Linked DNA regions of Mus musculus. The protein of the gene in region 7 purifies or fractionates together with the protein of the main gene of each other region. This does not show direct contact. Links are inferred from orthologs where the notes say so. Each region holds a gene or a part of one and is shown on either strand. Other genes may lie near its edges.

The links.
Region 1: the proteins of Grb2 (region 7) and Peak1 purify together in Homo sapiens (co-immunoprecipitation; 3 studies listed by BioGRID and IntAct, counting the BioPlex papers as one, with this or other methods). This does not show direct contact. The link is inferred for Mus musculus from reciprocal best matches to the Homo sapiens genes GRB2 and PEAK1.
Region 2: the proteins of Grb2 (region 7) and Wipf3 purify together in Homo sapiens (affinity purification with mass spectrometry; 3 studies listed by BioGRID and IntAct, counting the BioPlex papers as one, with this or other methods). This does not show direct contact. The link is inferred for Mus musculus from reciprocal best matches to the Homo sapiens genes GRB2 and WIPF3.
Region 3: the proteins of Grb2 (region 7) and Map4k5 purify together in Homo sapiens (affinity purification with mass spectrometry; 7 studies listed by BioGRID and IntAct, counting the BioPlex papers as one, with this or other methods). This does not show direct contact. The link is inferred for Mus musculus from reciprocal best matches to the Homo sapiens genes GRB2 and MAP4K5.
Region 4: the proteins of Grb2 (region 7) and Pik3c2b purify together in Homo sapiens (affinity purification with mass spectrometry; 5 studies listed by BioGRID and IntAct, counting the BioPlex papers as one, with this or other methods). This does not show direct contact. The link is inferred for Mus musculus from reciprocal best matches to the Homo sapiens genes GRB2 and PIK3C2B.
Region 5: the proteins of Grb2 (region 7) and Myh9 purify together in Homo sapiens (affinity purification with mass spectrometry; 3 studies listed by BioGRID and IntAct, with this or other methods). This does not show direct contact. The link is inferred for Mus musculus from reciprocal best matches to the Homo sapiens genes GRB2 and MYH9.
Region 6: the proteins of Grb2 (region 7) and Ptpn6 purify together in Homo sapiens (affinity purification with western blotting; 4 studies listed by BioGRID and IntAct, with this or other methods). This does not show direct contact. The link is inferred for Mus musculus from reciprocal best matches to the Homo sapiens genes GRB2 and PTPN6.

The regions. Positions count from the first base shown.
Region 1 is NC_000075.6:56,415,191-56,419,556, reverse strand, and holds the start of Peak1 (inactive tyrosine-protein kinase PEAK1), read left to right. Parts: upstream 1-1,506; 5' UTR 1,507-1,616; exon of another isoform or gene 1,617-1,696; intron 1,697-4,366. UniProt on the Homo sapiens protein: Probable catalytically inactive kinase. Scaffolding protein that regulates the cytoskeleton to control cell spreading and migration by modulating focal adhesion dynamics. Acts as a scaffold for mediating EGFR signaling.
Region 2 is NC_000072.6:54,428,105-54,432,615, forward strand, and holds the start of Wipf3 (WAS/WASL-interacting protein family member 3), read left to right. Parts: upstream 1-1,581; 5' UTR 1,582-1,756; exon of another isoform or gene 1,757-2,117; intron 2,118-4,511. UniProt on the Homo sapiens protein: May be a regulator of cytoskeletal organization. May have a role in spermatogenesis.
Region 3 is NC_000078.6:69,890,311-69,894,770, reverse strand, and holds the start of Map4k5 (mitogen-activated protein kinase kinase kinase kinase 5), read left to right. Parts: upstream 1-1,607; 5' UTR 1,608-2,010; coding exon 2,011-2,118; intron 2,119-4,460. UniProt on the Homo sapiens protein: May play a role in the response to environmental stress. Appears to act upstream of the JUN N-terminal pathway.
Region 4 is NC_000067.6:133,104,913-133,109,330, forward strand, and holds the end of Pik3c2b (phosphatidylinositol 4-phosphate 3-kinase C2 domain-containing subunit beta), read left to right. Parts: intron 1-74; coding exon 75-203; intron 204-1,060; coding exon 1,061-1,246; 3' UTR 1,247-3,776; downstream 3,777-4,418. UniProt on the Homo sapiens protein: Phosphorylates PtdIns and PtdIns4P with a preference for PtdIns. Does not phosphorylate PtdIns(4,5)P2. May be involved in EGF and PDGF signaling cascades.
Region 5 is NC_000081.6:77,839,274-77,843,797, forward strand, and holds the start of Myh9 (myosin-9), read right to left. Parts: upstream 2,903-4,524; 5' UTR 2,684-2,902; intron 1,484-2,683; exon of another isoform or gene 1,384-1,483; intron 1-1,383. UniProt on the Homo sapiens protein: Cellular myosin that appears to play a role in cytokinesis, cell shape, and specialized functions such as secretion and capping. Required for cortical actin clearance prior to oocyte exocytosis. Promotes cell motility in conjunction with S100A4.
Region 6 is NC_000072.6:124,730,212-124,734,561, reverse strand, and holds the start of Ptpn6 (tyrosine-protein phosphatase non-receptor type 6), read left to right. Parts: upstream 1-1,407; 5' UTR 1,408-1,608; coding exon 1,609-1,616; intron 1,617-1,701; coding exon 1,702-1,824; intron 1,825-2,067; coding exon 2,068-2,262; intron 2,263-4,350. UniProt on the Homo sapiens protein: Tyrosine phosphatase enzyme that plays important roles in controlling immune signaling pathways and fundamental physiological processes such as hematopoiesis.
Region 7 is NC_000077.6:115,646,404-115,649,670, reverse strand, and holds part of Grb2 (growth factor receptor-bound protein 2), read left to right. Parts: intron 1-2,792; coding exon 2,793-2,961; intron 2,962-3,267. UniProt on the Homo sapiens protein: Non-enzymatic adapter protein that plays a pivotal role in precisely regulated signaling cascades from cell surface receptors to cellular responses, including signaling transduction and gene expression.

The DNA.
Region 1 (4,366 bases), on a different chromosome or scaffold from region 7:
TAACTTATAAACTACCTCCTTAAAAGAGCGGCTAAGGAGCTCCTGTTCCGTGTCTAGGTAGAGCCTACACTACTTCACTCAGTTAAGGACAAGCTTGACTTGGGTGCAAGGGTGGGCAATTCACAAGTCACATAACAAAGTATGTAATCTTGCAGAGAATTTTAACAAGGTGTTTAAAATTCTTTGGAGACAGCATTAAGACAATCTTGCTGGGGAGAGATTTTCCAATTTACACACAGAAACAAAATACATAAATTCTGATCGTGGCCTGGTGATTATCATAATTTGGGGAAATAACCGAACTTGTGACGTGAAAATACAACCCCAAGGCTGTAGGAACTCTCTCTGAGAATGGCACAAACCAACACCTTTTCTGGCTCTCATCAACACGGGAAGTGGCTTGGACACCCCCCAAACATCATCCTACCCCCACAGGAAGTGAGTTACAGTTCCCCCTCCCCTATGACAGCATGTCTCCCTTCCCCCAACCGGAAGTGAGGCGCCCCCATTCAGTGGGCCTTAAACCAAGACAAACCAATAACAGCAGCAGCAAAAGAAGGATGATCTTCAAAGGGGGAAGGACATCTCGACTGTTGCCACCCCCATGCTCGTCTTGCTTACTAACCTGCTGACGGCAGGAGCAGGCAGGGGCCTGGGGACTAATGAAAGTCCCTTGCACAGAGGACAATTCCCTCAGCCCCTCGCAATCGCCTTCACTCTTCACTCCGTCGTCTCACAGCTTGACAGAAATTCCTCCGCAGTACTTTATTTTGGTGTCTTTTCTTACTCTTTACCTAATCACTTAGTCACCTCCAGATAGGTAACTTCTTTTAACGTGGTAATACTGAGAATTGTTCCGTTGAGGAGAGACGTGAAATGTTATACCCGATACTTTCAGAGAAATGAAGGGATTATTTTGCCCAATGCGGCGAAGGACTACGTGACCACGCAAGGTGAGACACACTTTCGCGAAGGTTCTTGGGAAATGTAGTTTTCATTTTCATTGCTAAGGCTCTCAAAAAATAGTGGGACTTAAATTTTAATTACTGTATACTGGACTCTTAGAGGATAGTTATTCTGTACTAGACGAATGGCTGACTTAAGGTGATTCGGCCCCGAAAAAAATCCAAATCTGCGCTGTTTCTTTCCACTGGCGTTTAATTGAACCCAAATTCCCCGTCACATGGACTCAAGGTCCCTGCCGCCCCGCCCCCTGGCTTTGGCTCCACCCCTCAGCCAATCAGACTTTCTCTAGCTCGTGTTCTCCGGATATTGGCACTCAGGGAGGCGTGGCCTCTTGTCAACTCCTCCCATGGGGCTGAGAGTAGAGCTCGGAGACCGCCGAGGTTTGGTGCGGGCACGCGCGGGCGAGCGCGCGCGGTCTGAAGAAGTGAAGCGGCAAGGGTGCGCGCGGCGGGGCGGCGTGCAGGGTTGGGAGGAGCGAGCGGACTGGTGGGCTGGGCGGACGGAGAGCGGCCGGGAGCGCGCTGTGGACTCCGCGGCCGCGAGTAGTTAGTTAGTTGTGTCAGTTGCTCGGTGGAGGCGGCCGCGATCACCAGAAAGGGGACGGGACAGGAGGCAATGCTGAATATCGCAACGGCTTGTGCTCCCCTCAGGTAACGGGGGCAGGGTTGCCCACGTACCCTCCGGTCCCTTTCCCACACGCGCTGGCTTATGGGGCCAGGGTCGCCGAGAGGTGAGGACGCGGACCTAGGGGGGATCGGGACTGGGTGGCGCCGCAGGGGCTCGGCAGCCCGTGCGTCCTGCGGGGCGCGGGCTGCAGTGCCCCGGCCACCCACGCGCCCCGCGGGCGCCGCGAGCCCTCTCATGCCCCCCACCGGCCCAGGCCTCGTTACCCTGGCTGCGATGGTCCCGGGAGCGCGGCGCCCCCCAGAGGAGGGAAAGTTGGAACCTGGCGGCTAGGGACTTCCCGGGGCTGGGCTGCGAGGCTCCAGGGGAAAGTGAAGCCTTAGAGGAGCTGGAGATGTGGAGGCTGGGGCAAGAAGGGCTTCTGCCTAGTCTGTATGGTCGCCTCACTCCCAGACTTTGGAGGATCAGGCTCAGCCTTGCCTCAGCAGTCAGGACGGAACCGGTGGCTCTGTGCCTGCTCACTTTACGCTCTGGCCAGGGAGCCCCTAATGTGCGCAGGCTTCCTAGGTTGCTTAGGGGTTTGGGATTTTGAGAGGCTGGGTTAGACATTTGTTTTTCTTTGCCCTTTGGCTTATGGGTTCTTGCCAATTTCCTTTCCTCCTTCGAAGAGGACTACCCATCTGAATTGGGTCCCCTTCTCGTTATCCCCCATCTTATGCTCCATTTGTTGGAGAGCTTGATTTTGTTCTTGGACTTCATTAAGGACTGCTGAGAGCAATATCAAAGAGTAGTCCGCCCTCCAGTCCCCCTCCCCCAGGCCCCATGTCTGCAGTCCAGTTTTTAAGGACCCAAATTGAGGAACCAGAGCTGTGGAATGGAGTTATTGGATGGCTGGTGTTGAAGGATAGAGATGAGTTAGAGGAAAACTATGATTTCATCTTTATTGGCCTTACTATAGAAAACCCAGTACATTTTTCTTTGCCTCTGTTGAATGTGGTAAGAGTACACTCTCAATTAAATACTTGGTGACTTACATAAAAGACTATTTTTAAGCCACTGGATGATGTGCATGAACTGCTTTTTCACCTGAGTCGGAATTGCTTTGAGTATTCTGTTTGGTGGCCTATCTGTTGACTTGATCTTTTTCTTTCTTTCTCTTTCTTTTCTTTCTTTCTCTTTTTTTTTTTCAGCCACACTGTCCTCCCTTTATCTACCTTGGCAAATTAAGTATGTAGTCAAGAGAACACATATTGCTCTCTGCAAAGAGGAAAAAAAAAAAAAAACCCAGAAAGCCCAAACTTGAATTATCCACAAGGGTAAAACTTTCCATGAGCAATCTTGGATACTCACTTCATGATGGCTTCTTTTGTAATCTCAGAGCATTTTAGATCTTTCAATTCACTGACTACCCTAATTACTTTCCAAAGTGCCTGGCACTTTCTTTGGTGACTTTTTCAGTAAACTATAATTGCAGGTGAGGTACATTTTCTTGGCTTCCAAGTTAGGAGTTAATAGCCTTATCACAGAGATTAACAGTTAACAATGGAAGCAGAGTTCATACTACTGCAAGTGAGTTTTGGCAACGATCAGGTCACAAACTATGTGAAAAAACAAAGATCCCCTCCCCAGAGTTGTCAGAGGGGAAGAAGAGAAAATATTTTATCGTGTCTCTATTTGGGAGAGAGTAGTATGACTATGTTATGTGGGGGAAAATGGCAAATTATTTTCTTTAAAGCTTTTTGATTTGTGGTCCTCCTTTCTCCCACCCTTTCTTTAGGGACTGACATTTATGTTTGGCTAGTTTCCAGTGTTGTAAGGCGTGTTTTGGTGAGAGGAAAAGATAAGCTTGATTGAGTTGTTAGGGTATTGCTTATTCATTTTGTTTAGTAATAGTGCAGAAAACTTACACAGTGGTGTTTAAACCCCATTAACATTCTGTCAGAATTTATTTTTAAGAGTCTGTCCTGAGGCCCATAAAGAAATAATGCCACTTCATAACTGTTTTCTGACAGTCACATTAAAAAGTACGTTCCTGAAATGCATTATATGTGAATGCATATAAACATTTATCTTTGTACATTTATGGTAATGTAAATATTTAAGTCGGAGAGCTTAAAAACTTTTATTTGCTTATTTGCATACATGCCTTTTAACAGCCAGCAGTGCCAACCATATTTGCCAAAGAAGTATCAGCCATAAATTCAGGCTTTGGCACATTTCATATAATAACTCTTCTAAATTGCTCCATGGTGAAGCATCATGAGATTAGCATTTGCTTCAGGAGAGAGATTTGTTGTTGTTTTTAACCGTAATGATGTGCTATTTAAGGGGAACAGGTGCTGGGCTCTAGCTGTTTGTGTTGTAACCTGCCAAATCCTACTCTTTTGTTGGATGGGTTGTTAAAGCAATTTAGGAACCACATTGTGGCCCCTGGCTTGCCAAGTGTGAGTTTGAGGCTCCATATCACTTTTGCTAATCCCCATTTTTTTTTTTTCTTTCAGTGTAAGAGGCAAGTGTGGATGTGAACTTTATTTTCTCATTTGTCTTTTACTGTGATTCCTATGCCCCAGTCTAGAACTTCTGATACAGGCTGCCTCCCTGCTAGCTGGGTTTTCCTTGGAGAATTCAAATATTGTTGTAACTTTCAGGCCAAGTTCACATTTGTCTGACAAAAGACAAGTATTTGAGTGTCTTCTAAAGTGTTAGGCCTGGTGCTAGGACCTGAATATGTGTAGAATGATGCAGTTTTTGTCAGCAGCTTATACCTTAGGAGGAG
Region 2 (4,511 bases), on a different chromosome or scaffold from region 7:
AGCAACACCACACTGTCTCCATCTTCTACTCTGTTGTAGATAGTGGTGGTAACACATTAGTTGTTTCTTGGTTAAAATCTAGGTGTAGCATCACTAGATACTGAAGCATAAAGAGAATAGGGAATGGAAGGGCAGAGGCAGACAGACAGACAGACAGACAGACAGACACACAGATACACACAACTCCCACTTCCAATTTATCAATCCAATGGAGGTCGCCAGGTAACAAGTGCCTTTACTAGCCAAGCTATCTCATCTATTCCTACTATATTAACTTTGATAAGGTTTATTATGGTTGTTGTTGTTGTTGTTTGAGGGGCTTTGCTTTGTTTTCTTTTGGTAGTACTGGGAATTGAACTCAGCTAGTGTGCTAAGAAAGTCTCGGTGATCAGGAAAGGCACTGGCACTATAGTCTTTAGTCTTTAACTGGTCATCACTCTGGATTCTGTCCATAGAGACGATGGGGAGAGCGGCTTAGGTATTTGGAACGTGGCTCCCAGAGACTGAATCCTGTTGCAATGTCCAGAGAAAAAGGATGCAAGAAGGACCACTTGTGCCATGAGACACTGGGTTCTTGAACACAACAACTTCATGATGTTTTCAGCCCCAAATAGCCCCACTCTGCAGACACCATCACTTTGAATCAAGCATTTAAAAAGCTGAATTAGTATATCCTCCAGAAACCGCCCAGCTTGTAAGATAAATGACTGGCCATGCAACTAGTTTGTGCTTTGGGGCTCCGTAGAAGACCTGGTGGGATTTCTACATGGCCATGGAAATAATTCTTCTCTGCAAATTGAGCTTTCCTTCCTTTTCGAACCAGAACACAAGTATGCCTAAGATGTGAGAGGCAGGAAATGCCAGCCTGAATTGCTGCACTTGGAGCAGCTGAGTGTACACAGGAGCCTCAGGCATAAATCTCCAGCATTCTCCAAGCTCTGGACAGCCGGACAGGGAAATGGGACAGACTCGCTTCACTCTAGATTTCAAACTGCCTTCTTCCCACTTCTGCCCCACCGGAAGCTACTTACCTCCCTGTGTTACCAGGATATTTTGTGCTCACCTATCTCTGAGAGCAAGCTTCTCTACCTCCCCCTCCCGCCCCCCAGCTCTCTCCACCCACACACCCACCCCTGCCTCTCAAGCCCAGGTCTGAATTGGGTGTCCCTCTGCTTTGTACACGTTGGATGTTCTCTTGGCTCCGTATTGTAAGTACCTGCTTGTGCTCATCGGGACAACCGGCTGTCCCATTCTCCTTTTGTCCCCTTGCATATACGCGCTGTCTGGGGCTTAGCGAGGGCTCAGAAATGTTTGTAATATATAGACGAGGTGGCGTGCAGGGGAACTCCAGCCCTTGGCCCCATTGTCCCCGTGGCTCACACTCGGGACTCTGTACCTGGGAGCTGCGCCGCCGCGCAGCCAGGACCGCCTCCTGGGTGCCAGAGCGACCCCGCCCTCTGGACCGCGTCCCCGTGCGCTGGGCGGCGAGGCTCCAGGGCGGCCGCCAGGAGCAGGTGGGGGCGGCGGCTCCGCCTCCGCGTCCCGGCAGCGCTTAAGCCCGGCTGGGAGCGAGCGAGGAGCGCAGAGTCCAGCTTAGCCGGGCGCGCAGAAGCAACGCCAGGCACTGTCTGCAGCCCAGCCGGGATCCTCGAGGCGACGGGGACGACGGAGACGACGGGGACGACGGAGACGACGGGGACAGCGGGGACGGAGGCGCCAGCTAAAGTCCAGTCGGCCGGGTTACGGCCAGCTGCAGGTAGCTGCTCTGCTCGCGTCCGGGCCCTGGGTTAAGTAAGTGGCCGATTGGGGTTGTCGCGGAGGGTATTGGGGACAGTCCCGAGGTAGAGTGGCCTCCCGCGTTGTCAAAGACGCTGGGTGAGTGAGAGTGCCCAGGACCCTCTCCAAACTGTAGTCCCCAGCCGCGACTACGTCTGGGAGCTGCTCCGTGCAGCCCTAGCGGCAACCACTCGCTCCCTGCCCGCCACGGGTCGGAAAGGGACCATGGCTACACCAGGTCACCTCAGGGCTCCCTGGTGACCTCCCAGGACAGCACTCTTCCGTTATCAGCTTCTGGCACGGAGGCCTCTTAGTCTGATGCCCCAAGGGGGCTCTGCTTCCCTTCCCCCACGTCACCCCCCACCCCTCCCCTGAGAACAAAAGGGCGGATCTTGCTTGTGTTGGGGATGTTAAGGAAGGGTCCCTGGCGATTAGGAGAGATCTGGGAACCTGCACAATCAGACAAGGACTGAGGATACTGGACCATTTCCCAGAAAGAAAGCCAATTCCTGAGGGAAAAAGTGACTTATCCAAGGTCACACAGTTCCTGGTGACAGAGTCGGGCCAGGAGCTGAGTCCTGACTCCCCGAGGCTTATCTGTAAGCCTGCCTAGGTCAGGAGCCAGAGAGTGTATGTGTCTGTCTATCCATTATCTCTAGCCATTTACATCTGGCCACAAATGGCCTTTAAAGTCCTTTGGAGGTGTGCGGGACTGGGTAATTGTGGCCATTCCCCCGGATACCTAGCCAGGAGCTCACGGGGAGCAAGCTTGGGAGAAGAACACGCTCTCCTGTAGGATGCCAGGCATCCATTCCCCTGTGGAAACAATGTCTTCTGTGTGCTTGGAGTGTCTGCCATGAGTGTGAGAACCTGAGTTGGGTAGATGTTCTGCCCAGAAACCCAGGAAGCCTGTCTAATGGCCTCAGGAAAAACCAGAAGTATCTCTGACACACACACAGTCTGGGGACTCTCTGAGGAAAGTTTCCAGTGGGACAGTGGTATTCCTCTTCTGTGCCTGGGGTCCTTGGATGTAAGTGAGAGCATTTGTTGGGCAGACTTGTGTGACTTTAAAAGCTTGTGTGCCTCACTGTCTTTGCCTTCGTCACCTCAGAGAGGGCCAGGAGAGGGTTTCTTGCTGCCAGTTAGTATTATAATCATCAGACACTCTAGCCTTGTTTTTAATGTTCACTCCTTTTACTTTCTATGTAAGTATTTTTCGGGCATGTATGTCTATGCACGACTCTGTGCCAGGAAACCCCTAGAGGTCAGAAGAGGGCACTGGATCCTCTGGACTAGAGTTAAGGATGTAATGTCCCTGAACCACTATGTGGGTGCTGGGAATGAGTCCTAGTGTTCTACAAGATCAGAGTTTCCACTGATAAACTACCTGTCCAGTCCCAGCCTTCTCCTAAAAGCTGTCCTCTCTAAACTGTAAAGTAGTGGTAGAGGTCAGAAGTGGACTGCCTTTGGGCTTCCTACTGGCCTGGGCAGACCTTCAAGGCACTTTAGGTCTAGACATGCTCCCCATACATAGAAACTCAGGAAGTTGTGTGCTTTAGACTTGTGCACATCACTTGGGGCTTTTTTTTTTTTTTTTTTTTTTTACTTCAATAACAACGTAAGTGGATATTTGATGCTGAAGGGCACTGGGCATGGCAGGGCACAGGCTGCTGAAGTCTGCCAGCTAATGTACTTTAGAGATGCATTTTAAAGCAAAACCAAATCAGGAAAACAGGGAGAAGGACAGGGGAGAGAAAACCAGTGGGGAAGTAGCAGGAAATGGCCAGGCACTGTAGATGCTTCCATATGCATTAACTCAAGCCCTGTGGTTCCTGTAACTATTGTGCCTTTCCACAGATGAGAAATGCAAAGAGACAGGGGTTAGCTGAGTGTGCCGAGGACAGGGACCTGGGTCTGTACACTTCAAACTGGAAGTGCACCGCCCACATCCAATTGTTGGTGCCCAAATCTGCGCAGAGATGTCAGGCTGCCTTGGTAGAGCTGCTGTATACCCCTTTTTAGTCCTTCCAGGAGCCTCGGTTTCAGGCACTTGGGAGTGTGACTTGGTGCTACACTGAGTCAGCAGGCAGCAGAAGGGGCGGAGGAGAGCGCGTGTGTCTAAGAACATTCAGTTTCAGGAATGGGAGACAGCCAGCTGGCCCAGCCTGGCAACGCTCTTTTTAGGCGATTATTGTTCAGCAACCGTAGAGTACAGGTTGAGATTTTGCAGTCATTCCAACACACACACAAAAGGGATAATAGAGCCAGAGAGAGAGAGAGAGAGAGAGAGAGAGAGAGAGAGAGAGAGAGCCGCCACATCAAATGCAATTAGCACTGAAGAACAGACAGGGTTTTCACCAGGTAGCCTCAACTTTCCCTGCCTTCTATGCTTGACAGATATAATAGATATCAGTGCTAAAGTTTAAACATCTATTAAAGGGCAGGCAAGATGGCTTAGTGGGTAAAGGAGCTTGTGCCAAGCCTAAAAACTGTAGTTCAACCCTCAGAATCCACGTGGTGAGAGAATTGACCCTGCAAATTGTTTTCTGACCTCCAGAAGTTCAGTGACACACACACACACGCACACACGCACACACACACACACACACGCGCACACACGCACACACGCACACACATACAAACAAAAAACAATCAAAATCAAAACCAAAAAAATGTAAAATCAACTTATAAAACGTAACTTAATAGAATAAATAAAATGTCTTGTATGCATGTGA
Region 3 (4,460 bases), on a different chromosome or scaffold from region 7:
GACTCTAAACTTGGAAGACTGCTCTCCCCTCACACAACACTGGCCCTCCAGGTTGACTATCCTGCGGCCAGTGTGGTGGAAGGCCTTCAACCCATGAATATCCCACAACGGCCTAGTCACACAGTGGGTAAGGGTGGGTTTGACTACATGACCACCATAAATCCATGACAGTAAACAAGTACTAAGATACCAATAGAACACTTGAAGAGATTTTGAGTCATCGAAGCCAAAAATATGTGCCCACCAAAACAAGTGCCAAGAAGATTTCAAAGAAGGAACTGTTCTTCAACCATTTTTTTTTTCAGTGCAGCACACACACAGGCTTTGTCCCTGGGGCATGTAAGTCTGGGCTTACTTATGTTCCCTAAATAAGTGCTCTTTGTGTGTGGATCACGAGAAAATGCATACAGTCTCTGTTCCGTTAAGGTGTTAATTTAATTTCTTCATTTATTAGCTATAAGAAGTTATTTCTCAAAACAGAATTAGAGTGTGTCTGGAGTCACGTGTCATCTGAAATTTGTTCTGTTGTCGTTTTTTTTTCTAGTTTTTTCAATTTTCTTACATTTTTATTTAATTTTGTGTTTTGCCTGCATGTACAGCTGTGCACCATATGCATATGTGGTGCCTACACAGGCCAGAAGAGGGCGTTGGCCCTCCCTCCCAGCCCACTCTGGATCCCAAGTTGGAGTTAATGAGGAGTGGGCCGCCACGCAGGTGCTGGGAATCAACCTCTGAGCTGCAGCCGGTGCTGCTAACAATTGGGCCATCTTTCCAGTCCTTATCTGGTTTTCCAACTGAAAATCTCTGTAAGACTCTAGAAGTAACTTTACCAGTATACATAAAATTGGCAACTTCATTTCTACCTTAAGAACAAGACTGGAACTCAAATTACAAAAGAGATTGAAACATTAACCAAATCACTTCTCATAACTCCTGCCCAATATTTTGGGCATTGTTAGTTAGGCCTCTTACATTTTAAAGCCTCTTACATTTTACACTCCTCTTTACAATGCTGTAAAAATGGTTTACAAACATTTCTCGGGTGTCAAATGCAAAACCTATCCTCTTCCAGCTACAGATAAGGACACTGGGATGTTGCCACGTATGCCTTGTCCCAGATCACCTACTTTGGAAGCAGAATCAGACAAAGGTCCCTAGCTTTGCTTTAGCATCTCTAAAACTCCTCCCATTAACACTTGCAATATTGCGGTGATGCCCAGAGACCACAGAAACTTCGAAAGGAATTGGGGTTTTCAAAAATGGCTCTGGGAAACCCTGGTGGAAGACAGGTTCTGCAGGTGTGCGGTCCAGCCTCGGAACTGGTACCACCGGGAACAGTGTGTGGAACAGGACGGTGCAGTCGGGTGTGCCGGCATTTAGTTAACCCGGCACTCCCCCACCTCCTGCCCGGGCGGCCTCAGTTTACCTGTACCGAAAGGAAGCAGAAGGCAGCGCTCCGGAGGCCTGCGGACAGACCCTCCTCCTCTAGTCCGCCGGCCACTGGGCGAATCCTGGCCGAGGCTGGGCGGGTCAGACGCCGCACGAACGCCTCCGGCGCCCCGCAAGCAGCTGGGAGGCGGGGCGCGGCGGCGTCCAGGGTGTTGTGCACTCGGCGGGCCTCAGGGCGGCAGTCTGGGCCCGCGGCCTGCGTTCTCGGGCGGGCCAGGCTCGATCCGCGCCGGCCGCGAACGTGTCTCCCGGTGACGCAGCCGCGGGTGGGGAACGTGGTGCGGCGGCGACTGTGCGCACGGCCGTCTCGGAGAAGACGCGGGTCTCCGACGCCGGCGCTCGGCCAAGAACGGACGGCCTCTCGGGTACGGCCGGCGCGGGGCCTGGCGGGACCGACGAGGCCCGGAGGCTGCCGGGGTTGCGCCCCGTGACGCCCCCCGCGCTCGCTCTCGCCGGTGCAGGCGCAGCTGCGAGCCGAGGCTCCATGTTGGGAAGCGCCGCGCGCCCTCGTTAGCGGGAGACGGCTGCGGCGGGCAGAGCCCCGGACTGGGCGCAGCGAAGATGGAGGCCCCGCTGAGGCCTGCCGCCGACATCCTGAGACGGAACCCGCAGCACGACTACGAGCTGGTGCAGAGGGTCGGCAGCGGCACCTACGGGGACGTGTACAAGGTGAGGCCCCGGCCCGGCCTGCGAACGTGGGGCACCCCCGGGATGCGCCGGACCACAGCGTCCGGCCAGGAAGCGGCCCGGAGCCCGCCGCACCGTTCCGAGCACCCTGGGTTCCCCATCGGTTCTAAGGCTAGCGACCGGCAGACTTAACCGCACCTTCCAGACCACGGCTGAGCTTTTTTTGTGGTTTTAAGGCGTATTTATGGTATTGAAGTTATTCCGGAGGATGGTTTGGTGTTGATGTGGGGGGAAAATGCTTCGCGGAAGGCGGTAGATAGGAAAGAGTATTGTAAATCTAGACCTTTGCGTCCTGTACTGGTTTGGGTGAACTTGCCTTGAAAAAAATCTCTGTGGAACCGGACTCTAAATTGTCAACTGTAAGTAATCTGGTTCTGGAGTAAAAGGATTTGTGTGTAAACATGACAGCCTGTAGGAAGATGTCTTTGGGGACCGGTGAGGTGGCTCAGGGTGTTAAAGGCCCTTAGAGCCAAACCTTACTTAGGACCCCAGAACGGTCCCCGGATTCTCTTGGTGGAAGCACGGATCCCCCACACATACACACTCACACACTCCCAGGAAATAAACAAAGTGTAATGAAATTTAAACATATTTAGAGGAAGACCTTTGTCACCTGGCAGAAGTTTAGGCATTTTGTATCTGGTTGATAATAATGAATATAACTTATGGGGTTTTCCTACTAAACTAATTCCTCTCTATGGGATTTATAGCATTCCATAATCATGAGTGGATAATTACTGCTACCCTTTTTACTGGTCTCTTATATTAAGACAAATAATAATAAATTTGTAATCTGCCGTTACACAACAACAAAAAACATGCCATAGCAAAGCAAACCGATTTCTTAAGTCTGCTAAGTTTTTGAAGGGTTCAGAGGAAAACACTGTCCAATATTCCCTCATGGCTTTTGTTCTTTGTCCCAAAGGGGCAGAGTTAGTGCAGTTCCTTATGGGGATTAAGAAAAAGCTTATTTTTGACCTGGGTGTTGGTGGTGCACGCCTTTAATCCCAGCACTCAGGAGGCAGAGGCTGGTGGATTTCTGAGTTCAAGGCCAGCCTGGTCTACAGAGTGAGTGCCAGGACAGCCAGAGCTGCACAGAGAAACCCTGTCTCTAACACCCCCCCCCCCAAATAAAAGCTTATTTTCCTTTTGCAACAGCTTGATATTTTGACCTATGTATGTATCAGTATGTTCCAAACAGCAATCTGCATAGAGCCCTGATGGCTGTGTTTCATGAGTAATTGCTTGACCCCACTGAGGTATGTTGACTTGCACAGGTATAATGCAAGGAAAACATCTCTTTTCTCTGCTTGTTTTTGAGTAATTTTTTGCTGAGAGTAGTACCTTGGGGTGATGGATTCTGAGGTAAGAACTCTGGGTAGGCTTTTTACCCCTGAAAACGAGGCATTTGGGCCCAAGCAGACACTGTTCTAGCAACCGAGCAGTGCAGCAGCAGTGAGCAAGGTCCTGACTCTGGCCTCGGTTACCTTTGATGCAAAGTGCACAGTTAGAATGGAATCCCCTTCCTTATGGAAAGTTAATGGTAGCTAGCACAAACGTCTCTATTTGCTCATTACCCATTTTAGGAAATGCTTGCTCTTTAAAAAACAGAAACTCCTGTTTGCTTTCTTGGTCCCATTTTAAATCATCTTTGTCTTATGATTCACTGAAAGTTAGACCAGTTCAGTTCCGTTCATAGTAATTATACAATACTCTAAATTCTAGCTTTTGCCCCACCCTACCCCCTTTTTCCCCTGGTACAGAAAATTTAAAGGGAGTATTTCCCCCACACAAGGATCTTGCTAAGACCTCCACGGTTTTCTTTTCAGAGCAGCTCTCTGGAAGGACTGCATCCTTCCTTAGGAAAGCAATGTTTACATTAAAAGGACAGCTGTCTGCCTGCCTGCCTGCCTGCCTGCCTGCCTGCTTGCCTGCTTCTTCTTACCCAGCTGCTTCCTGGTCCTGCTGCTCACTTCCACAGCTCAACAGACATCAGAGGCTGAAAGCTTCCCACCCCACCTGGGCCTCCCACCTTTCTCAATCAAGCTCACGTTATCACGTGTACTTGAGGGCTAGGCCAGCCTCTGAGTCCCACGCAGCCTTTAGACACTCGTGTGCCCTTCTGTTTGGTGTGTTCTAATTCCTGAGGATCACCTCCCTCCCCCATCCTCCACCTGTTGCCACCATTGCTGTCTAGGAAAACAGTTCTTGGTTCTAGTAAGCCCCAGCCCCTCACCCTGACCCCTAATCTCACCCACCACTCTCCCTCTCCCTTTTGCTCTTACCACACTGGCCTGCAGGCTTTCCTTAAACAACAATAAGCA
Region 4 (4,418 bases), on a different chromosome or scaffold from region 7:
GGTAGCCTCAGGGACCATTAGAAAGTAGAAGATGCTGCCTGGACCCTTCAACTTCTGTTTGTGTTCCATTGTAGCAACCGCTCCAGGATGGCAATGACCCTGACCCCTATGTAAAGATTTACCTCCTTCCTGACCCTCAGAAAACCACAAAGAGGAAAACCAAGGTGGCCCGGAAAACCTGCAACCCTACCTACAATGAGATGGTGTGTGGAAAATGGGGGTGTGAAGGGTAGGCAGGGTCTTAAGCCGCTTTTTGGATGATTTATTTATTTATTTGGGTTTTCGAGACTCAAGCTCCATGGGTAGCCAAGGCTGGCCTCAAATTCCTGCTCCTCCTGCGTGCTGGGGTTCTAGAGGGGTGCCGCAGGACACCTGGCAACCAGCCGTCCCTTCTTATAAGTTAGTCACACTTGCTCATTGCTACCTTCTGCTCAGTGACGGCCTTGGCAATTGTGATATGAACTGTGCTTTTTCTTTTTAATAAATGTGCCCATGATTTCCAGAAGAGGGAATCTGATCCACTGGAGTTACAGGCAGTTTCGAATTTTGAGACAGCAAGCATTTTTTTTTCAAAGATTTATCTATTTAGTTTATGTGAGTACACCATAGCTGTTTTCAGACACACCACAAGAGGGCATCTGATCCCATTACAGATGGTTGTGAGCTCAGGACCTCTGGAAAAGCAGTCTGTGCTCTTAACCTCTGAGCCATCTCTCCAGTCCCAACAGCAAGCACTCTTAAGCACCTATCTGCTTATCCAGTCCCCATGTATTTATACCTGCCCCTTTCCTTTTATGATGACAGCTTTTAAACCCTTAGAGTTGCAATTCCCCAGATGGGACTTGGGCCCTAATAATATGAGGAGGAGGGAGCCTGCTGCCCTGTATGGAGAATGATCAGAAGCTCCAATAAATATAATCCCAGCATTTGAGAGGCACGGGCAGGATTGCTGAGAGTTCCAGGCCGGCCTGGGCTACATGCTACCCTAGGGACTGGAGCATCTCTTTCTGAGTTCCCTGTGTCTCACGCTCGCCTCTCTTCCCAATGCCCATGCTTGCAGCTGGTATATGATGGGATCCCCAAGGGAGACCTGCAGCAGCGGGAGCTACAGTTGAGTGTGCTGAGTGAGCAAGGATTTTGGGAGAATCTGCTTCTCGGGGAGGTGCACATCCGCCTTCGGGAGCTGGACCTGGCCCAGGAGAAGACCGGCTGGTTTGGACTGGGTTCTCGAGGTCATGGAACCTAATGAACCCACTCCTGGCCCAGACCTGCGGCTGCGGCCCAGAGCTGGAAGAGAAGCCTCTACCCCACCTAACTCCTTTGCTAGGAAGGAGCAGAACCCTCGGTGGCCTTCCCCACGCACGGTCCATGTGGACCTGACCTCCGTGAGGGGGCTGGAAGAGTCAAGCGCTATCCACTGCCCCTTCCTCCGCAGGCTGCACTGGGGTGGGTTGTGCTGAACAGCCCCCCTCTCCTGCCCCCAGAAGCTGTGGGCTTGCAGCAGAGTTTTATGTTTACCTTGTGTCAAGGGAGCAATGCCTGCTTTGGGGTATGTGGAGTGCGGGCTATATGAAGTAGCACTTAGAAAGGGAGGGTGGGTGGATATTTTATTTTTATTTTTAAAAAATGAAATAGTAATGTTGTCCTAACTGGGACAGGAAGCTTTGTGTGAGAGGGGCCTGCCATGCCTGGGAAGGCAAAAGAGAAAGACTATTTGGTTTTTGGGTTTTGTTTTTTTTGTTTTGGTTTGGTTTGGTTTGGTTTTTTGTATGATGAGAGTTCTTATTGGACTTTTTCTCCAGGATTTTTGGGGGTTTGTTTTCTAGCTATAGGAAATATCGGGGAGGGCCCCGGTGGGTCCTCAATAAAGCCCTCCCTCTCTCGGGCATACTGGGGAGGGGTGGGGAGGACTAACTGACAGCCGGACTGACGCCCACTCTGGGCCATCTGATTTTGCCTCCAAAGGAGGGCATCGTGAAAACTACATGTGTAAGGAAGGGCCTTCCATTGTAGAGTTCCGCCAAGGACCTAGATTCAGGGACCTGTGCTCTTTAGGGCAAAGTGTTTCCTCTCCTCTTCCCCCTCTGCTTGGACTCAGCTCAGGCGCCTTCCTGTCCCCTCTACCCCTGTGTTCTCTCGGCCCGCTATGGGTCACCCCGTCCTGGAGAATGCACTGGGGTGCTTCTGTGCCCCATCTTGTTTGATGGGATAAAATGCTGCTACCCCTCAGCTCTAGCCACGCCTGTAGGGCAGGCACGTCGTGCCATTTGCTGCAGCTTCTGGGAAATGTCCCCTGAGACCGTCTACTACTTTCTCTTCAAACCCTGTTTCTGTCACACTTTAAAAAGAGCTTCATTCTGTAGGGTCACAAAGCTGTATAGGGCATAGACAAAGAGATGCCCAACCCATAGCAGAGTGGGCTGGAGTGAGCCCTGGTCAATGCAGTTGTTTCTTCTGGATATTTTCCTGGCTGGATTGGAGCAGCTTCCTCTTTGGAAAACAAACAAAAGATTATTTCAACCTCTTTCTTTCTTTCTTTCTTTCTTTCTTTCTTTCTTTCTTTCTTTCTTTCTTTCTTTCTTTCTTTCTTTCTTCCTTCCTTCCTTCCTTCCTTCCTTCCTTCCTTCCTTCCTTCCTTCCTTCCCTCCTTCCTTCCCTCAAGACAGGGTTTCTCTGTGTAGCCCTGGCTGCCTTGGAACATAGAGGTCCATCTGCCTCTGCCTCCCAAGTGTTGGGATTAAAGACATTTGCCGCCACCATCTCCTGGCTTATTTGGCTTCCTTATGTGGTGCTAGGGATCAAACCCAGGACCCTTTGAGTGCCAGGCAAGCCCTGCACCGCACCACCAAGCTTCGTCTCCAGTCCACCTTGCGTTCTTCCTTTCTCACCCTTCTCTCTCTTGGGTTTCCAAAGAGTTGTCTCGTCTTAAAGGTAACAGCTAGGGACTCTGTTTAACTTTTTATGTTTTTTTTTTTAAGACAGTGTCTCACTATGTAGAGCAGGCTGGCCTTGAACTCATAGAACTCTGCCTGCCTCTGCCTCTATACGGGAACTAACTTTTAAATGAAGAGTTAGCAAGGACAAGGCAAATAGTTTCTCTGTGACCCCATTTCTGGAGAGAGAAAAGCTCCATTGAAGCCACATGGAAACAAGAAAGGTGTTTGTTTTGTTGTTGTTTATTTTGCTTCTGGTTTTTAATTTTTTTTTTTTTTTTTTTTTATGAGAGAGGGTATCATATAGCCCAGGTTGGCCTCAAACTCCTATGTAGATAAGGATAGTCTTAAGCTCCTGACCTACTTGCCTTTCCAACTCACAGGTGCTAAGATTACAGACATGAGCTGCCCCATCCATTTTCTCCTTAATTTAAAATGACAGGCCAGTGAGGTGGCTCAGGACTTGCCTGGTCAACTTAAGTTTGATCACTGAGACCTTTAAGGTGGCGGGAGGCAACCAACTCCTACAAGTTAGTTTTTTTTTTTTTTTTGTCCTTCATATGCACTACACAACATGTGCACACACATACACACAGATAACATAATTTTAAAATGCCAAGGATAAAGCAGCCTGATGAAGGCAGGAGAGTAGAGCGGGAAAGCAATGGAACCTTCCAGATGTTTGGACCATAGACGAGCTGCTGGCTTTTTGCCTGCAGCTCATTTTCTTTTGACCCTTTATGTCTGACTTAAAGAGGTCTATGTACTGTACCCACTTCCCACACTCCTTTATCTTCTACTTTCTCTGGAATTGTATTTTTTAATAAACGACATTTGAGAAACAAAGCTATCATTATTAAAGATCGGTGGATGTGCAAGTGTTCAGGTAAAAGCATGGGATGTGTGTTTCGGTGCCCCGGTGCACCACAGTGGACATTCTTACAGTCTTCAGCTTGTAACCAAAGCTTCTGGGCGAAAGCCCTGATTTGGCAGGCCTAATGGGCTGGGCTTGGCCACTGTTCTGGGGCGCCCATTGAAGGGATAGTGGTGGCAAAAGGCAAGGCGGGGAGATTTGTCCACTGTGGCCATATTGGAAAGAGTAGGAAGGGGTTCCTGTGACACACGCCCCCCCCCCAGTTTATCCTCAGGATACTGACATGACCTCTAGGTCAAAACAGGAATATTCAGGGGGTGAGGGGCAGAAGTATTCATAGTAAAGATGTCTTCCTCAAGGTGTGATCTCTTTTTTTTTTTTGTAAGATTTATTTATTTATTAAATGTAAGTACACTGTAGCTGTCTTCAGACACACCATATAGAGGGCATCATATGCCATTACAGATGGTTGTAAGCCACCATGTGGTTGCTGGGATTTGAACTCAGGACCTCCAGAAGAGCAGTCAGTGCTCTTAACGGCTGAGCCATCTCTCCAGCCCAAGGTGTGATCTCTTATGATCTCAGCTGGAGTCTTTGAAAGATATTCCAGT
Region 5 (4,524 bases), on a different chromosome or scaffold from region 7:
AAAAATAATAAAATAGAAAAACAAGAAAACCAGGCCTTTCTTTCCTCTCCCCTCTCCTGCCCTTCAGACCAGCAGCCCCACTGTGAGTCCCTGACTCTCTCCCCCCTCTTCTCCTGCCCTTCAGACCAGCAGCCCCAGCCTGGTCTACAAAGTTCCAGGACAGCCAGGGCTATACAGAGAAACCCTGTCTCAAAAAAAAAACAAAAAACAAAAAACAGACCAGCGGCCCCATTATGAGTCCCTTACTCTCTGCTTCCCTTCCCCACCCAGGGCTAGATGATACTTCCCAACCCAAGTTGCTAATGCTAGTTTGAGGGGAACCTGGCTCTGCCCACCTCCCCGGCCGTCTAAAACCTGCTGAGTGCAGTAGGAGCAAAGCTCTGGGGTGTCACCCACACAGCAAGCACACTGCCTCTCAAACTACACTCAGCAATCCCTCGATGCTTTTAACTACTCCCCAATTATCCACTAAATGACTCCCCACTTTCCTTCACCACGCGTTTGCCTCGGTTTGCCAAGCCTGAAATGTCTTCCTTCCTCATGGTGGTTTCCCTGCTTGCCCTGGACAGCAGTGGCCCCCTGAGCCTAGGAATTCCTTGAGTCCTTTGTCTGTGGCTAGTTTGGGACACAGCACAAGCTGTCTTTGTATCTTAGTCTACCACTCCACTCTTTAATGCCTTCAAATTTCCCCAGAACACAAGTCTCTTCAGGAGGCCAGCAGGCTCTCCCAGGGTAGCCCAATGCCTCACAGTACCTTTCTGGGGTTCCTGATATCTCCCCTTCACACTAGTCACTGGTTTGTCTCAGAGTGCCGGTGAGCAGGGGCCAGGTCTTACTCAATTCACACCCACCCCACCCCGCCCCCACACACACCACCTGGCAAAGTCCCTGGCAGAAGCCCGGTTAAATATTTGCTCAATTACACATCTATAGGCCCTTCCCCCCTACCCCCACCTATAACAACCTGGTATATAAATTGACTGATATTGAGTGATTGTCTACACGGGGCTTCAAGCAAATTGCCTCCTTAATAGAAAGGGAGGGAGGCCTCCAGGTGAAGTTATCAGCTTGGACTCTAGACAGTGGAGTCAGAAATGGCTACAATGTTTCTGTGAACAAGTTACCTTTTATTTATTTATTTATTTATTTATTTATTTATTTTTGCTGTTTCAAAAAGCTTTATTTTCACTTGGTCAAGGCTTAGGAGGGGCTCCGGGGCGGGTTACAGATCTGCCTAGTGGCTTGAGAGTTCTAGATGGAGGTCCTGAGATTGACTGGCTGGCATACAGCAGAGGAGGGAGTCCTTTGGGAGGCAGAAACCTCCTAAGTCGTGCTTGAGAGTGAGCCACTCTTAGAGATACTTGGGCCAGTCTGCGTTGGCTAAAAAATACGGAACTCAATGCATTTGCGTGTCATCCTTACGCAGAGGCCATGCTAATCTGTATCGTTCCAATTTTGGTATAGGTGCTGCTGTAGGAAGCACGCAAGTTACTTTGAAATCTTGCTAATCCAGAAAACCGCTCAGAGAACTGAGAACTCGATGGACCTCCCTGTAGCCCAGCCGAGGCAGCCTCCGGGTCTCCAAGACCTGGGACTTCCCAGGGACCTTTTCCCTAACACCGCTGGGTGGGGCCTTAGGCACCCGCCCGAGCCCACCCAGCCTTCAGTTTCACTACAGCCCGCAAGCAAGTCATAGAGGGTACTTGACTCAGTTTGCCTGGGAGAGATGGGGACCCGGAGGAGCGGGGTGCAGCTCCTGCCTTAGGCGTGGCTCCAGAACAGGATGAGGTGAAGACCCTAGTGCAAGGAAGTGGGGGATGTCTTCAAAACTCCGCCTCTCATCAAACATAAAAGATGCGGCTGCCCGGCCTGGTCTTAAAGTCAGGGCCAGCTCCCAGAGACTGGCCCGGGCGTGGCGTCCCAAGGTGCGGTGGAAATCAGGTGCACGCCTGCCCGGGCGACGGGGCAGCTGCCGGCAGACCCAGGCCTTCTGACCTCGGGCAATAGAAATCCAAGGTTGAATGAGGTCAGACGGGGGGGTTCTTTTCCTGCGCCCTGAGCCCCTCGGCAGCTGGGACCCCTTTTCCCACGCACTCTGAGTACCTCTCCCCGCCCCCTCCCGGCCCAAGGGCTGACGGACAAATGAGGAAGTCCGCAGCGGACGGCGGAAACCGTGCCGGGCGCAATGTCTGCGGCGGGACCGACCGATCCTGACTCAGGAGGACGCCCTGACAGCTGCCAAGCGGTCCTCGCCTGCCCGTTACCTCCCTTTGCCAAACTTACAAAGGAGCTGCTGCCCCGTGCCCACGAACGCATCCGGCCGGCTCGGCCGAGATCTCCGGGACTGCTGCGTCCCGGAAGGGGTTAAAAAGTTTGCCGGAGCTGGCCGTCGGGGAGGCGGGAGTGCAGAGGCGACAGGAGCAGGCCGAGCTCCCAGTGCCCCGACCGGGAAGGGCATCCTGTAGGGCCGGGGACTGCGTCCCCCGGTTCCCTAACCCCGAGGCCTCGCTGCCTATCACCCCTCGGGTGAGGATGCGGAGTCCGGTCGCACCCGACCGCGCTGAAACCCGCCACGCGGAGGCCGAGAACCACAGGGCCGTCCGCCCCAAAGGACTCGAGTCTTGTCGCCGCGCGCGCGCGCTCGGCAGCTCCGGGGCGGGACATACCGGCAAAGCTCGCTCACCTGAACCTGGGTCTGCCCGGGGAACAGGCGCTGGTTCTTCCGAGTGGACTTTCTCGAGCGCTCGGGCGGCGCGGCGGGGTGGGGCGAACGCGAGACTGGAAGCTGCAGCAGGTCAGGTTCTTGAGCCTTCCGTGCCCTGCCCAGGAACCGCGGTGATCTGCGCGCCTCACCGCACCCAGCTCTGGTGCGCGCCGCCCTCCCTGCCCCGCCCTTCCAAGAGGAGGGCGGGTCTACAGCTCGCCGCCGGCTCGTGGGTGGAGCTTCCAAGAGTCCCCGCCCTCTCCCCACACTGCCCAATCCAACAGGAGTCTGGCCTAAACTGACAGATTTTCGGCCTATAAACAGACAAGAGATGGAAGCCGGAGTGCTGAGATTCATCCTCCCCATCTGTCCCCACCTCCGCCCACCCCACCTTCCACCCGCGCTTCCTAGGCGGGAGCCACGCCTTGTTGGGCGGGTCCAATGGACAGCCAGGTTACAGGACCAGGATTGACGCGGATTTCATCCAATCAGAAGCAAGCGGCTCAGGCGCGCTGGGCTCCTGGTCCCGGCTCTGGTGTGCAGCTTGGGCCGCGCCGGGGCCGGAGGGAGCGTACTGGGGAGGTCTGAGGCTCTGACACTCCGCCCAGCGAACCGTGTTTTCCCTTCGTCCTGTCCTACCAGGAGAACAGATATTAAGTACCATATATGGGAAAAGTGGTATTTTACATAATTATGATGGCTGTGGGGGCGGTCATGGCTTCAACCCTGCATTCCGTGTGGGCGTCCTGAGTTCGATTTTGGAGCCTGCTCGCGGCTGTCCTCCAACCTCTGAACCTTTGCTCTGGCTAGTACCTCTGCCTGGAATGCAGTCTAAGCCACTCTTAACCTTTGAATAATTAACTCACACACATCTCAGATATTTGTCACTAAATTATTTTAAGGGTAGATTTCATTTGTTTTATTTTGGTTACTAACCACGAGAGGATTTTTTTTTTCATTTAAAAAAATGTACTTTGCCATTAATCTATCAGGAATTTGTCCACGCATTATTTTCTGCCCAAATTGTCCGTTTCCGAGTTGTGTCCATTGATCTATGTGGTCGATCCTGCAGCACGTCAATGCTTTCAAATGGCTTTATGAAGGCAAATTTCTCGTCATTGCTCTTAACTGTTGGAATGTTCTTGCTAACACAGTTAAAATGATCCTTCCATATAAACTTCAGGGAAAACTTACATTCTGAAGCCAAAAAGCAGCTAAAGAAAGAAAGAGATTTTGCAGCCCAGATGACCAGTGATTGCTACCCACATTACAGCAAAGACTGCTTCCCAGTTGATAAGAAAAATTTAAAAAATTTTTAAAAGGCTGAACCATCCAGGGGTTGTGGGTGGTATACCAGAACTCAAGAGGTCTGAGGTAGGAGGGGGAGTTCAAGACTAGCCTGAACTACACAGACAAGCAGTTCAAAGGTGTGAAATATATAAAGCCAATAATTACTTTTAAAACTAATCATCAAGAGACTGGAGATGTACGGGCAGTGGTGGCCCATGCCTTTAACCCCAGCACTCGGGAGGCAGAGGCAGGCAGATTTCTGAGTTCGGTCTGCAGAGTGAGTTCCAGGACAGCTAGAGCTACACAGAGAAACCCTGTCTCGGAAAAAAAAAAAAAAAAAAAAAAGCCCAGCATTGTTAGAGCCGGTGAGGAGGTGGAGCTCATCAGGTGCTGACAGGAATACGCATGCGCTTCTCCAACCACTTTGGGAAAGTGGCTCCACTAGGCCTGTAGCACACACCTGTGATTTCAGCGCTGCAGAGGGAGGCGCAGGAGGAGCTACTCTTGGCTACATAATGAGTTTAGGGCCA
Region 6 (4,350 bases), on a different chromosome or scaffold from region 7:
AACAGGGGGTGTGACTCTGTGGTTGAGCCTTTGCCTTGCGAGTTTGAGGTCCTAAGTTCAAACCCTAGGACTGCAGAAGTGTGAAGGGAATCAAATGAATAAGGAAAAGAAATAGGGTGGAAGATGTACACTGCCCAAGGATGCCTGCCCAAGGATGCTCCTCACACTGTTTAAGGGACTGAGAGTCTGGGTTGGTTTTGTTGTTCTTGTTGTTGAAACAGGTCTCACTATATAGCGCTAGATATCCTGGAACTCACTGTATAGACCAAGTTGGCCTCAAACTCACAGAGAGCTGCCTGCCTATGCCTCCCAAGTGTTGGGATTAAAGGCATGGGTTACCATGCCCAGCTAGGACTGGGGTTCTAATTTCAGTATTATAAAACAAACAAACAAACAAACAAACAAACAAACCAAAACTAACCAATCAAAACACCTCAGACAATAAACCCTTAAAAGATATAAGGTGCTCTGTCCCATCTCCCTTCTCCAGCAGCCTGTGTCCCTTGCTAAGGAAGATACCAATATAAATTGGGCAGCTTGTTTCCCCTCTGGTCTTGGCTTGGTAGTATTTGCATCTTTTTTTGTATTCATCCTGGGGTTTACATACACAAGGTCCCATAAGCCTGAAGGCTGAGCGCTCCTAAAGTTTAAAGCCCTCCCTGTGAGCGTCTGCCCTTGTTGGGACCCTGGCCATAAACCCTAACCTTTAGGAGATACCTTCCCACCCCACCCCTCCCTGCTGACAGTCAGGGTATAGGAAGGAGGCCTAGGCCCATGATGACAGAGCTGCACAAGGTTGCTTTGTGGGGGCTCTCAGCTGTGATGATAGCATCTCCTTTGGACAAGGAGTCTATTGACTACTGTTCTTTGGGTCCTGAGGGCTGGCAAGCAGAATTCAAAAGTCATTGGCTTTGAAACTATTTAGGTCTGAATCCTGCAACTCACTAAGGGTAAGACCTGGGGGCAATTCCTCAAACTTCTTGGCCTCAGTTTCCTTGTCTGTGAAGTGGGGATAAAGATAGTGCCTGAGGAATGAGGCCCTGGTGACCTGTAACTCACAGGAGGCATGAAAATGACATTGTAGCAATGAGTCTGGCAGGCTGCGACACTCCATTAAATGACGGTGCCACTGCACACGATCATTATTAGACTGTGCCTAAGAATAATTCTGAGTAGAGGCAGCTGCTGGAGGAGGAAGGGTTGACCTGATAATGTGGATATTCACTGTGCGTGACTCTTGACCTGCCACACGTGTGCCTTACCTCTTGAGTCATGAATATTTACTGCCTTGCCCCTGTGCCTTTGTTGGCAGACTGTGGGAAGTGGGCCCTCCCCCACCCTGCCACCCTCCAGCTCCTCTTCCCTCGCTCTGAAAAGAGAAGTTCTAGTGAGTTCCCCTAAGGGGTCGGCCGCGCCCCTTCCTGTCTCCGCCCTGCTGGCTGCCCCAGGCCAGTAGAGTGGTAGCCCGGGGAGCAGGACTGCAGGTTGGCTTTGGAGGCCTGGGCTCTGAGAGCCTTGCCTGAGGCTCATCTCTAGAGTTTGTACGTGCCTGCCCAGACAAACTGTTCCCTCCACATTTTCTGCAGCCAATTCAGTGAGAACCCCAGGATGGTGAGGTAAGGGCCTGGGACCCATGGAGGATAGGAAACAAGGGTGGCTGGAGCCCTGGGGATATTCCCTCACTGCCCTGTGCACTTTTAGGTGGTTTCACCGGGACCTCAGCGGGCCTGATGCAGAGACCCTGCTGAAGGGCCGGGGAGTCCCTGGGAGCTTCCTGGCTCGGCCCAGCCGCAAGAACCAGGGTGACTTCTCCCTCTCAGTCAGGTGGGTGGCCCTCCCTGCACCTTGGCAGCTCATTGTGTGGGTCCGGAGCATTCCTGGGTTCCCTGGGTTGTGTTGTCTCCTCATGATACATTTCTTCCCTTCTGTCCCTGCCTGTCGCCCTAGCATGTGCCCATAACTGTCTATGTCTACTCCATGCCTATGTGCTTTTGCATCGAGACCCCTGTCCCCCCAAGCCCACCCCGCTGCTGCTCATGTATCTCACTACCTGGTGGTGCCTCGCAGGGTGGATGATCAGGTGACTCATATTCGGATCCAGAACTCAGGGGACTTCTATGACCTGTACGGAGGGGAGAAGTTTGCGACGCTGACAGAGCTGGTCGAGTATTACACGCAGCAGCAGGGCATCCTGCAGGACCGAGATGGCACCATCATCCACCTTAAGTACCCACTGAACTGCTCGGACCCCACCAGTGAGAGGTGAGGGGCATTGCAGGTTGGCCCTGTCCCTTGAGATAAGTGGACATCCAGACCAGGTGTCCTTCTGTTCCCAGTCCGTTCTTCATCCCTGATCTTCCACACCTGTTCTCTCAGTGTTCTCAGCCTCTTCCCTCTGTAGGCTGATGATTCCCATGTATCTAACCAATCCCCTGTCCCCTGAGGAAGCCAGAGAAGGGTTCCCCTTGCCTTCCTGCAGGGTTCCTGCTGCCTAGCAACCTCATCCTGAGAGTAACAGAGAGGCCACTCCTTGTCTCTGGTGTTTCTCATCAGGTCGGCCCTATTACTAGAAAGCTTGTCCTACCATGGAACTCTGGTGCCTTCTTCCAGCCCTCTACACAGCCTGGGGCTCTAGGTCCCTGTCTTAATAAGGTCTTAGAGGTCCACTGGTACTGGGGTACTCAGGGACTTCTCTCAGCATCACACTGAGGTGGGGCTGGACAGAGCTTGGTGAAAGCAAGGTCGCTGAGGTGGTCACAGGTAGAGAAGGGCCCAGGCTTATCTGACTTAAGGAGACCCTCAGGATATCCCCAACTAGTGCTGCAAAGACACGGCCCCCATAGCTGGGCTGGCTGTTCTCTTGTGGTCTTCTCAGAGCATGTGCAAAGGGAAGGTTATGGAGATAAATGTCCCTCATTCATTACACTGGGGCTCGTCTTAGCTGTATAGCACAGGGACTGACTGGCAACCCCTATTAACTCAGGGTTTTCTTATGGACTCTGGGGCTCTGCGTACCTGTTCCTGTCCTGTGTCTGTGTATTTACAGTTGAAATGATTCCGAACTTGATCCCCACACCCTTCTCTGCTGGGGCCTGAACCCGGGGCCTTGTCTGAGTTGAGTGAGCGCTTTGCCACTAGCTACCTTCCACGCAGTTTTAAAGTCTGTTTTGAGATTCGTGCCTACAAACTTAGCTCAATAGTTTTGTTCACAAGTTACTGACTAAAACTGAGGACTGAAGGTCTAGGGACTGTGGCTCAGGTGGTGAGTGCTTGCCTGCCATGCATTAAACACTGGGTTCTATTCCCTGTCGTGCATAAACCTAGTGTGAGTGACACGTGCCTGTGAGCCCAGGTGGAGGCAGGAAGACCAGAAGAAGGTCAAGTTTATCCTCCATTCCATAGCAAGTTTGAGGCCGGATAGGGCTCCATGAGACCTTGACTTAAACTAAAACAAGCGGAGTGGAGGTGGTACCATAGGCCTTTTATCCCAGCACTCAAAAGAGGCAGGGGAAGGTGGATGTCTGGAAGTTCAAGGCCAGCCTGGTCTATCAAGTAAGTTCCAGTACAGCCAGGGCTCCACAGAGAAACCTTGTCTTGAAAAACCAAAACCCCCAAACAAAACAACAAAAAAACTCCAACCCAAACAAACAAACAAACAACCAACCAAAAAAAACCCTCAAAACACAAAGAAAACCACAAACAAACAAACAAAGAAGCTGGAGGACACTCCCTAGAAGGCTTTCCTCTTCTGCTGGTGAGTGGGAAGGGAGGGCCTGCCCCAGGTTGTCTCTCCTCTCCTATCCTACCTGCAGCCCTCAGGATGGTTTGGCCTCTCTCTCAGATTCGCTTTGAGCCCCTTGTTTTCTCTTTGTTGCTGACTCAAGCCAGGATGCGCCCTGCTAGAGTAGACCATGGAGGTACAGCTGAATGGTGGCTGCAGTGTTCCCTGTGATCAGGAAGGAGGTGGGAGCTAAACAGGTGTTAGGAGAACAGGCCAGGGCAGTGGGGAAGCACAGGACACCCTGTGGATGATACCCTCTGACAGGGCTGCGGAGGACTCCAAGGGACACTTTGGATGGCCATTTGGGAAGAAGCTGTCTCATCCCTAACCTTAGTGTGTGTGGAAGCCATGACCCAATGGCTCCTCTCTTTGCCCCTCCTCTTCTGGGAAATTTGCATTTGTCCCCTCAATAGTGAACTCTCTGCCTGTGGTCTGTTCACATTTGCATGGAGACTTCCTCATCCTGTCCCTGAGGGAAGGAGCTGAGCCCCCTCACATTGCTTGGGGTCTCTGGCCTGTTCCTGAGGTGGGCTAGGATGGCCCAGGAGGCCTGGGTTGGGGTAGGAACC
Region 7 (3,267 bases):
AGTGTTTGCTCTAAGGCCTAGTTGTAGCAGATCTGAGGTTTTAGGTTTGAAGTGTCATGAACCTGGGGGAGCTGGCAGCACTCGAGGCGGCTTAGCCCCACTCCTCACCCGCCCTGCCTTCACTGCAGTTTCTGCTGCACTTACGGTGACCACGTGCGCATCTCCACTCCTGGTGTTCACCTGGACCCAACTCATGCTTCCCAGGAGCCTAGAGGGGCATTTTCTCAAAAATCCAACTAGGAATTGCGCATGATATTACATGCCTTTAATCCCATCAATTGAGAGACAAAGACGGGTGGATCTCTGTGAGTTCCAGGCCAGCCAGAGTCACACAGTGAGATGCTGACTAAAAAAAAGAATGGCTTTGCCCTGTCTGACCGATCATCCTTTCCTAGTTAATGGGTTACTACAGAAGCCCACCCCAAAATTCATCTCTTTTTATAAAATTTTTTTTAAAATATTTCCTTCATTTACATTTCAAATGCTATCTGCTTTCCTAGTTTCCTCTCCGAAAGTCCCCTATACCCTCCCGCTTCCCTGCTCCCCAATCCACCCACTCCCACTTCCTGGCCCTGTCATTCCCCTATCCTGCAGCATATAATCATCTCAAGACCAAGGGCCTCTCCTCCCATTGATAGCCAACTAGGCCATCCTCTGCTACATGCAGACACAAGACACAAGCTCTGGGGGGTACTGGTTAGTTCATACTGTTGTTCCTCCTATAGAGTTGCAGACCCCTTTAGCTCCTTAGGTACTTTCTCTAGCTCCTCCATTGGGGGCCCTGTGATGACTGTGAGCCTCCACTTCTGTATTTGCCAGGCACTGGCATAGCCTCACAAGAGACAGCTATATCAGGGTCCTGTCAACAAAGCCATCTGCTTTCCTTCCTTTGCCTGAACTACTCCAAGTAGCAGTAAAACAGCTCAGGGAGGGAGACAAGTCAGTAGGTAGGGGCTGGACCCTTGGGCAGGACTGGGCCGTGATGTAGTGAAGACAGCAGGAAGGCCAGCTATTCCTTCCATCAAAGAAAACCATCTAGGAATGGAGACCTAGGGCATCAGGTAGGGTTATAAGTTCTGGGTCAGCCTGGGCTACATGAGACCCAGGCTAATAACACAGCTCAGTGGGTAAAGGTGCTTGTCGTCCAGCCAGGTGACCTATGTTTGATTCCTAGGACCCACATAGTGGAAGGAGAGAACTGATTTCCACAGGAGTTCCCCTGACCCCTGCCCATCACACACACGCATATCTAGAGAAGTGTCCTCTTAAAGTTAAACATTTAAAGATGTTAATACGTCATCACTTTAGGAATAAAATATAAGAGGTAGCTGGCTCGGTTGGTAACTACCACGAAACAAGAGGATCTGAGTTAGGGTCCAAGGGCAGATGCTAGAGAGGGAGATCGTGTGGAGCTGTAGCCAGCTAGCCCAGCCTTACCATGGAGCTCCGGGGTCAGTGAGAGGCACTTCAGACAGCCAGTGTTGACATTGGTTTCCACACATGTGCACATACATGTGCTTTCACACCCCATGGACATGACACGTACACAAGGAAAACATGAACTACTGCCTGCCTTTAGCGAAGCATCTTCACAAGGGCTTCCATCAGCACCAGACTCTAAGATAGCACACAGTTTCGAGATCTTGGGAGTCTGGTGGGAAGATGTGGTAGAAGTGACCCTGCACTTGGGAAGCAGGTGCATCCCAGAAGGCTCTTGGGCCTTTGGAGCCTGAGCCACAGTCCTCTCAAAAGCACCTCCCTTGCTGCTCAGGGAACCGCAATGAAGTCGCTGGGTGCTTGGTTTTGCTTTCCTCCGTTTCAGTCACCACAAGCCAGCTGGAAGTTCCAGAAGTAACTCCTGGATTTTAGATAACTTTTATGATGGCATATTGTTGAAATTGTTTCAGTGAAAAATAACTTTATCAGACTATATGTGTCTATAGGGGAAAACAGTGCATCTGGAGTTTGGTATCTGGTTTCAAACTTGCCCTGGGGTTTAGAAGCACTGGAAGTCCAGTGCTGCCATCTGCTGGTTTGTCTTTAGAACCACTTTAAGAGACTACTGGAAGAGATTCAAAGGCTTGGCAGTGAACAGGAATCAGAAAGAAAAACAGTAAGAAAATTCCTCGGTAGCCGGGGCGTTGGTGGTGCACGCCTTTAATCCCAGCACTCGGGAGGCAGAGACAGGCAGATTTCTGAGTTCAAGGCCAACCTGGTCTACAGAGTGAGTTCAGCCAGGGCTACACAGAGAAACCCTGTCTCGAAAAAAACAAAAAGAAAGAAAGGAAGGAAGGAAGAAAGGAGAAAAGAAAAGAAAATTTCTCAGTGAAAAGCATAGCTTTGGCATACCTGTAACCTCAGCAATGGGAGGCTAATGCAGGGATCACCAGATCACCATGAGTTCTAGACCAGCTTACACAGTTAGTGAGCTCAAAGCCAACCTGAGCTAGTGTTTGACTATCACCCCACTTTTTGAACTGTTAAGGCAGATAAAGCTGTAGCCTCACAAGTGGGCTGTGTTAGTAGATCATAGACATCTGAGGGTTAGCCTAGTGGGTGGGCTTCCACTGTGTTACTCCTGTAACTAGTCATCAGCAATCAGGAGGGGCTTAGGGGAGGCTCCTGGGACGGTCTGCATTCTCTCCAGCTGGATACTCAGGGTGCTATGAAGCTCTTGTGACCCCAAGCTCTGAAAAGCTATGCCTGACAGAGAAGTTCCCTGGACACCTTCAGGTTTGAGGCAGCCCTGCAGAGCCCTGTGGCCGCTTCATGGTTTTTCTCCCCATCCTCAGGTTTGGAAATGATGTGCAGCACTTCAAGGTGCTCCGCGACGGAGCCGGGAAGTATTTCCTGTGGGTGGTGAAGTTTAATTCTTTGAATGAGCTGGTAGATTACCACAGATCAACATCCGTGTCCAGGAACCAGCAGATATTCTTACGGGACATAGAACAGATGCCACAGGTAAGCAAAGAGCTTTACTCACTTCCAGCAAGTGTGAAGGCCCAGGCGTGACACCACAGCGACTTCCTGTGTGCTCAGGCCGACCTCATGGCAGTGAGGCTCTGCAGTTGGCACTCAGGTGGTTGAGTCCCTGTGCAGCCAGCCTGTGAGGGATGCACTCAGTCCTCCTCACGTATGAGCAGGAGTTCTGGTTAGGACTGCCTCGTTTACAGCCCGAGTGAGGGAATGCTGAGAGTGTGTTCAAACCTGTTAAGAGGGGCTGGAGAGATGGCTCAGCGGGTAAGAGCACTGACTGTTCTTCCAAAG